Linked DNA regions of Drosophila melanogaster. The protein of the gene in region 2 purifies or fractionates together with the protein of the main gene of each other region. This does not show direct contact. Each region holds a gene or a part of one and is shown on either strand. Other genes may lie near its edges.

What was found. Proteins that work in one complex are often made in the same cells at the same time.
Region 1: the proteins of Mcm2 (region 2) and Sld5 purify together in Drosophila melanogaster (affinity purification with western blotting; 2 studies listed by BioGRID, with this or other methods). This does not show direct contact.

The regions. Positions count from the first base shown.
Region 1 is NT_033777.3:26,055,136-26,058,504, reverse strand, and holds Sld5 (Sld5), read left to right. Parts: upstream 1-1,957; 5' UTR 1,958-2,013; coding exon 2,014-2,124; intron 2,125-2,184; coding exon 2,185-2,638; intron 2,639-2,696; coding exon 2,697-2,818; 3' UTR 2,819-2,848; downstream 2,849-3,369. Other genes in the region: RpL34a (ribosomal protein L34a), read left to right, coding at 1-11; Tcs6 (Threonyl-carbamoyl synthesis 6), read left to right, coding at 318-352, 416-716; PIG-P (phosphatidylinositol glycan anchor biosynthesis class P), read left to right, coding at 682-1,158; CG14543 (uncharacterized protein), read right to left, coding at 1,197-1,658, 1,723-1,848; Cmpk (Cytidine/uridine monophosphate kinase 1), read left to right, coding at 3,169-3,369.
Region 2 is NT_033777.3:8,263,222-8,268,467, forward strand, and holds Mcm2 (minichromosome maintenance 2), read left to right. Parts: upstream 1-1,748; 5' UTR 1,749-1,879; coding exon 1,880-4,018; intron 4,019-4,075; coding exon 4,076-4,600; 3' UTR 4,601-4,703; downstream 4,704-5,246. Other genes in the region: RPA1 (replication protein A1), read right to left, coding at 1-750, 808-1,052, 1,114-1,149; CG9630 (uncharacterized protein), read right to left, coding at 4,780-5,246. UniProt on the Drosophila melanogaster protein: Acts as a component of the MCM2-7 complex (MCM complex) which is the replicative helicase essential for 'once per cell cycle' DNA replication initiation and elongation in eukaryotic cells.

The DNA.
Region 1 (3,369 bases), about 18 Mb from region 2:
CCAAGAAGTAACCATTTACCAGAAGGATTTGTTTGGAGCAATGATATTGAACACCTTTTTTTTGTAATAAAGAAACCACAAATTGAAGAAATTAACGTTTTAATTGACAGCTTATTTCCCATTGTTATTAACTTCAAAAACTTAACAAGCGCTTAATTTAAAACATAAATGTGATTATGAAGAATGCTCATTTTTAAACATTTGAATTCTTCAATCAGCTGTTCACGAGATAAACAGCCGGTGAATGCTTCTTCTTCATAAATTGTCATTAACTTTCTCCGTTGACATGTGAGCATTTCAGATTGGTTAAAACTTTTATGATGCCACAAATTGCAAATAAACCAAATGAATCGTAAGTTTAACCATTTAACAAAGAAATAAACATAAATTTAGTAATAAATATTCGCCTCATTAGCATAATAAGAGTGCCGTTTGAGACGCCACGATTGGCCGAGATCGCCTACAAAGTCCTCGGTGTCGACCAGGAGCCGCGCCGGAATTTCGTGAAAAAAACTTTGAGCCTGGAGAACGATGTTCTGGTTGTGCACTTTCAGTCGGATCAAGTGAAGAGCCTGCGCACTGCCATCACCTCCTTCTTTGAGTGCCTGCTCCTGTGCCAGGACACCATCAACCAGTTCGGAGACTCCAAGAAAGAGAAACTAATCCCCGAGAGCAACGACAATGCCGGAACACACTCCAGCTCCGACTCCCCATAGGGCGGTCTATGGTTTCGCCTTCTATATGCTGTTCACGGTCCTCTTCCTCGTATACGTGACTTGGGCGCTGCTGCCAGTGGAGTTTGGTCTGCACTCGTATCTGCCGGACAAGTATTTTGCCGTATTTGTGCCTTTTCTGGTGCTGGTCTTCGCCTGGTTCTTTGCCTTCCTCATCTATCCTGCCATAAATCTATCGATGACAGTGGATGTTGATTCCATTGCCTCGGTGGTGGATCCAAAGCTGGCACTGCCCAAGGGGACAGAGTTCACCTCCTGGTCGCAGTTGCAAAAAGGCAAGGTCAGCCAGGATTCCGCATCAAAGAAGGCCTCTCCAGTGAACTGCAACCTGTGCAGGACTTTCCACCAACCTGTGACACGTGCACCTATTCCACCACTGCGTTTTCTGGACCTCCAGGAAGTAAATACAGCGTATTATAACTAAAAAACTAGCAGGTTTCTTTTTAATCATCCCGACGAAATTCATTTTCTTCGCACGGTGGTCCAGCCGTCTTCCGGTTCCACAAACTCCTCAGCCTGCTGCTTTCGTGCCTGCGATCGCGTCATCCGACCACTGCCGCTGGGAGTTTCCTCGTCGCCCTGGCCCATTTCATTATCGTCCTCCTCGTCGCTGTCGTCCATGTCCTCATCGGATGAGGAGTCCCCATCGATGGGTGTGTAGGTGATCTTAACATCCGGACGCAGCCACTCCTTGCCAGCAGGAAGTTTACTCAATTCAGCCTCTATTTGCGGAAACTGGTTCTGCTGGGCCATCAATTTGTAGCGCAGCAGATTCCGGCAGATCTCCGGAATGGAGTCGTCGTCGCAGAGGGTGTTAAACTCCTGGTCCATCAGCTCCTCCAGGACCTCCACCAGTTCGCCTTGCGTGATATTTTCGTTGGACACGCAGTACTGGTAGGTGTAGTCCATGATTTCTATGGCCACCTACAAAACGGACACTCCGATTAGGTTAGAAAAGAAGACGGTTTCAGGGTATACGAGCAACAACCTGTTGGCCATTGCGTCCGCCCATGCCATGCTCCACCGCCAGCCGGAGATCCTGCCAGTGATTGAAGATCTTCTCTACAATCACTCTAAAATTCTTTTGGAATTCAGTTTGTTGTGCGGCTGCCATCGCATGCTTTTGTGATATCGATAACGGTTAGACGTGCCATTCACACGGAGTAAAAACAAATGAAACAGTGATGAAAAACGTCAACTGTATTACTGGAGTGACATTCCCAACGATTCCCAAAATTTGCGCCAAAATCTGCAAAATAATAAACAAATAAATAAAACCATGTCGGATGTAGAAGACGTGCCCGAAACCCAGTTAGAAATCGATGTCAGCGATGGCGCCGGACTGGAGGATGAGGATGATGACGATATGGAACAGATTACAGCTCAGAAGGTAAGGTAAATCGTAACACAGCTTTTTAATACGCAAGTAATCACATTCTGATATCCCTAGGTTCTGGAAATCATAGAAACCGCGTGGATAAATGAAATGTGTGCGCCGGAGATCCTGCCCAGCCAGACGGACATGCTGGAGCTGATGGTCTCCCAGGTGGCCCACATGGAGGAGCAGATGCGCGATCTGGACAAGAACGATTTCCGAGCGGTGGTGCACTCCATGGAACTGGAGAGGGTGCGCTACATAATGGCCAGTTATCTGCGTTGCCGCCTGCAGAAGATCGAAACCTTCACGCAGCACATCCTCAACCAGGAGGAGAGCCGTGAGCCGGATGACAAACGTCTGTCTCCCGAGGAGACTAAGTTCGCCCAGGAGTTTGCCAGTAATGTGGATGAGTACTTCCACAAAGTAGCCACCCAGTACATGCCCAACCAGCAGAGAGGAGAGGCGGAGCAGAGGATTGTGACGCCCAATCTGATGAGCCATGTCTTTCTTAAGGCAAATGTGGCAGGTAATAACCTTTTGTCATCTAATTAAGATAACCGCTTAACTCTTGTTTTGCTTTCCAGTGCCCGCTGTGATCGTGGGCGTCGATGATGAGGAGGTGGACATGGCGGCCGGCTCCCAGCATATTATTCCCTACCAACTAGTGGCCGACTTGATACAAAACAACCAAGCGCAGCTAATTTAAAAGACTTATTTAGCAGGTAATATACATGATAATAAAAAAAATTAAAAATCAAACTCTGCAAAGCTGCATGTTTAAGGGTACATTTAAAAATGTTGTAGAAGAATATTTAAATTAAATTTAATTTATTTAATATCGAACCGGAAGTAAACTGCATAAAATGCCATTCAAATTGGTTCGCTTCCCGCTAAAGCCGGCGCCAGTGTTGCCGAACGGACGCCCGCGAACAGCTGCGCTTGTGCGTGACGTCACAGGGTGTTACGTTTCCAGTGGAAAACAGTGGTGAGGTGTACTGCAGGCGGCATACACATAAACCACGCATTCAATTTGCCTTCAGTTTGGTTCAGTCGTCAATGTGGCGGGCTTTGGCACGAACGACGTTGAGAGCAGTAGCCAACGATTGCGGTTCACCAGGAGTCGGTCTCGCACCATCAGCGCTGACGCAGCACCAATTGCGACATTCCAAGGCCAGCAATAGGTTCATCACCACCACCTCCACAGCCCCACCACACAATATCGGAATCATGAGCGTAGAGAAGCCAAAGATTGTCTTT
Region 2 (5,246 bases):
AGGGTCAAGCTGATGGCCGAGTTACTCATGTCCACTAGGGTTATGTCCCGTTTCTTGAATTCCTTGTTTGTGGTGCGAGCTACGAATGATTGCAACTCGCCCACCTCCTTGCAAATTCCTATTGTGTCTACCGCTGCTTTATTTTCCATACCCGACACATCGGAAATAGGAACAAGGTTGTACTTAATTTCCGGTATGGGATCATCGTCGGTATCCTCACAAAGCTGGACAACTGTTTCACCGGAAAAAGTCATCTCGTAGGCGTTGTTCAGCGAAGAGTACTGCTTGTTTGCCGGTTTCAATTGACACTTTGATATATAGTACACGCTATCCACTTGAATGAGGTCGTAGAACTTATCGCACTGTTCCTTGAAGGCAGTGGCCCGAATTTCGCCCGATTCGTCCATTAAATCCATGCTGAACAACTTGCCCTCGCCGCGGGCATTGCTCCAGGTGCGAATGCCGGATTTTGAGGTCACGCGAGCCTTAATCACCCACTTATTTTGGTAGGGACTTAGGCTAGAAATGGGATGTGTCATTCCACTATTAATAGAGGAATTCATTACTATGTTATTATTGTTGTTGTGGCTCGGTTCCTTTTTGGCAATTGGCTTGGAATTAGATGTTACTGCTGGCTTAGGCGCCAGATCCTGCTTGGCTGCATTTTCATACGTAACGGGTTCGCCAATTTTGGACTTAACCTCGGCGCCAGGATTCACCACAGTTAGTTCGGAAATGATGAGAACGCGTCTAAAAGGAAAACATATGTTACTATACTGTCGAAAGTCTGTTTTACAGCGTACTTACTTTCCGGCTCCGTCCTTGCCTACCAGTGAGGTCACATATTTATCTAGCTGGACAATGGTGAACTCCTCTAATTCTCCATTGTGCTGCATCACGTTCAGCTGACTGGCCAGCATCGCATAGCTGTTAAAGTACTTGCCGTCGGAGATTAGGATGCGATAGCGCTCTGAGTCCGCTGCGCTGTTAATCTTCTTGATTGCCAGGATCTGGAGAACCGGGGCATCCACAACCTCGCCATGCATAATGCGCTGTGGCCGGTAGTACGATGTGTTACTATACCAATCCATTATTTTAAGCTGGCATACTTACAGCAATCACACCAGTGGACAAAGATGCCAGGACCATTTTGATTATAAAAATAAGTTGGGCAATTTCACAAGCAAATATAATTCATGCGTCGAGGGCTGGGTACAAAGTGAAGCTAGAAGAGGCGGGAAGGGCTTCTGTGTAATTTTGAATCAGTTGTTGCGGAACTAGTTCAATTTGCTTTCCAGTTAGAGCTGTATTTCAGGGCAGTAAAGTTTTGGTTGCTTAAGAGAAAACATTTATTTTACTTTATTATTACTATTTCCTACAGCAACATATTGAGAATAATTGTCTATTATTTTGACACATAGCTTTAAGCTTGACTTACATTGTTTGTGTTAATGCTCACAACTAGTTATTGTAAGCATTTCTATTTCAATGGAATTATAAATATTTAATAACTGTGTGATATTTTATTGACACATTCTTTGTATTAAAGCCTACATTCAGTGCCTTGTAAACTTTTTAAATTGAATGGTGTAATATATATATTTAAAATTTTTTGTAAGCTCTTTAAACTCGGTGATATTTTATTGACACAAGGAAAGTTGTTACAGTCGGGTGTTCTTATAAACATGTATGCAGAAGCGGGTGTCCACTGTATGACCCAGACGTTAACAGCACTGCTTATCGGAACTAGACCGCAGCCCTGAGTTGGCTCGATTAGCAAACATTTTCCCGCGCATTTTCGCACGCGTCGTCACAACAAGATCGGCGGTACAAAACAAAACATATTACAGATAAACGCTAAGCACAACAGACGCACGTAATGGACAATCCCAGTTCACCACCGCCAAATACGCCCAGCGATGCCGCCGAACGCCGCGATCTGCGGGCAGCAATGACGTCGCCGGTTGGCGACTTTGAGCCGTTCGAGAACGAGGACGAGATCCTGGGAGATCAGACCGTTCGCGATGAGGCCGAGGAGGAGGATGGCGAGGAGCTGTTCGGGGACAACATGGAGAACGATTACCGGCCCATGCCTGAGCTGGATCACTACGATCCGGCGCTGCTGGACGACGAGGATGACTTCTCGGAGATGTCCCAGGGCGATCGCTTTGCCGCCGAGTCGGAGATGCGTCGACGCGACCGGGCCGCCGGAATCCACCGCGACGATCGTGATCTGGGTTTCGGTCAGTCCGATGATGAGGACGACGTTGGACCCCGGGCCAAGAGACGAGCTGGCGAGAAGGCAGCTGTTGGCGAGGTAGAGGACACCGAGATGGTGGAGTCTATTGAAAACCTGGAGGATACCAAGGGACACTCAACTAAAGAGTGGGTCAGTATGCTAGGACCACGCACGGAAATCGCCAATCGCTTTCAATCCTTTTTGAGAACTTTTGTGGATGAAAGGGGCGCATACACCTATCGTGATCGCATACGTCGGATGTGCGAGCAGAACATGTCTTCGTTCGTCGTCTCCTACACTGATCTGGCCAACAAGGAACACGTATTGGCCTATTTCCTGCCCGAGGCTCCCTTTCAAATGCTCGAGATTTTCGATAAAGTGGCTAAGGACATGGTGCTCTCCATTTTCCCCACTTACGAACGTGTCACCACAGAGATTCACGTGCGCATCTCGGAGCTGCCGCTGATCGAGGAGCTGCGCACATTCAGAAAACTGCATCTGAACCAGTTGGTTCGCACTTTGGGCGTGGTAACTGCCACCACCGGAGTTCTTCCCCAGCTATCCGTGATCAAGTACGACTGCGTTAAGTGCGGCTATGTGCTGGGTCCCTTCGTTCAGTCGCAAAATACGGAGATAAAGCCCGGTTCCTGCCCAGAGTGCCAGAGCACTGGACCCTTCTCAATCAACATGGAGCAGACGTTGTATCGAAATTATCAAAAGATCACGTTGCAGGAGTCGCCAGGCAGGATTCCAGCCGGACGCATTCCTCGCAGCAAGGATGTCATTTTGCTCGCTGATTTGTGTGATCAATGCAAGCCTGGAGATGAACTTGAGGTCACAGGTATATATACCAATAACTACGATGGCTCCTTGAACACCGACCAAGGATTTCCCGTGTTTGCCACCGTGATTATTGCCAATCATGTGGTTGTAAAGGACTCCAAGCAGGTAGTGCAGTCGCTTACGGACGAGGACATTGCCACCATTCAGAAGTTGAGCAAGGATCCGCGTATCGTAGAGCGTGTAGTAGCATCCATGGCGCCTTCTATATACGGACATGATTATATCAAGAGGGCGCTGGCCTTAGCTCTCTTTGGGGGTGAGTCAAAGAATCCCGGTGAGAAACACAAGGTTAGAGGTGATATAAACCTACTCATCTGTGGAGATCCCGGAACGGCAAAGTCGCAGTTCCTCAAGTACACCGAAAAGGTTGCGCCACGTGCGGTTTTCACGACTGGGCAGGGAGCCAGTGCCGTGGGTCTCACGGCTTATGTGCGCCGCAATCCAGTATCTCGGGAGTGGACATTGGAAGCGGGTGCTCTGGTTCTGGCTGATCAGGGAGTTTGTCTAATCGACGAGTTCGACAAAATGAACGACCAGGATCGTACCTCTATTCACGAAGCCATGGAGCAGCAGTCTATTTCGATTTCCAAGGCTGGTATTGTCACCTCTCTTCAAGCTCGTTGCACCGTGATTGCTGCTGCCAATCCCATTGGCGGTCGCTATGATCCGTCGATGACCTTCTCGGAGAACGTGAATCTCTCGGAGCCCATCCTGTCCCGTTTCGATGTGCTGTGCGTGGTGAAGGACGAATTTGACCCCATGCAGGATCAGCAGCTCGCCAAATTCGTGGTACACTCGCATATGAAGCATCACCCGAGTGAGGAGGAGCAGCCGGAGTTGGAGGAACCACAGCTGAAGACCGTTGATGAGATCCCGCAGGACTTGTTGCGACAATACATTGTATACGCTAAGGAGAACATTCGGCCCAAGCTAACGGTAAGCGAACTTATTGAAATCACAGGAAAAGTGTAACAACATTTCCGTTTCATACAGAACATCGACGAGGACAAGATCGCCAAGATGTACGCCCAGCTGCGACAGGAGTCTTTTGCCACGGGCTCACTGCCCATTACGGTGCGTCACATTGAGAGTGTCATCCGAATGTCCGAAGCGCACGCGCGGATGCATCTGCGCGAAAACGTAATGGAGGCAGATGTCAGCATGGCCATCCGCATGATGTTGGAGAGCTTTATCGAGGCGCAGAAGTTCAGCGTTATGAAGAAGATGCGCAGCACATTCCAGAAGTACCTGTCCTTCCAAAAGGACCATTCCGAGCTGCTGTTCTTTATTCTGCGACAGCTGACGCTCGACCAGCTCGCCTACATTCGCTGCAAGGACGGGCCTGGCGCCACACATGTGGAGATTATGGAGCGGGATTTGATCGAACGGGCTAAGCAGCTGGATATTGTAAACCTGAAGCCGTTCTACGAATCAGATCTGTTTCGCACAAATGGCTTCTCTTACGATCCCAAGCGACGCATCATCCTTCAAATTGTGGTCGACGGCAACACAGCTTAAGTTTCAGCCATTTACTTCATCTCATTTAGTTATAGTATTCATGTTTTGTTACCCCCATTTTCGGTCTAATAAAGTTTGATATACTTATGTATGTATTTATACTAAAATAGGTATTTGAATTGAAATTTATACTTCCGTAAATATTTTTTATTGTGCATACAAATCAGCCCCAGAGTATGTCAATCGTTGTTCCCTTCGATGCCCATGGCTTTGTCGAAATCTTCCTCGCTAATCTTGTTCTTTTTCAGCCGCTTGAAGAGCCGAATATCGCTGGCCAGTTCATCGAGGTCCTCCTGGCTGAACTGCTGCCTCTTTTTTCCCTTCCCGGACCTGCTCGCCTCCGCCTCTGCCGCTTTCTTTCGCTGCTTCTTCGCCTTGCGCAGCTCCTTCTTAGACTTGGCATCCAGTTTTGCCTTCTTTGTCTGATCCCAGGACTCAACACGCTTTTTGTGCTGCTTTTGGCCCGGCCAGCTTCCCGTTTGCTCGTAAGTTTCCATTTTCTTTTGCCGGACTTGTTCTTTCTGGGCGTTTTTGTAGGTAAGTTTGGATAAATCCACTTCAAAAGCAGGCGCCACATAGCCGCCGCCCTGGTAGTTCTTTAGCTCCGGCATGCGTGGCAGTTGCAGGAGACCGTAAGCAGTGGCCA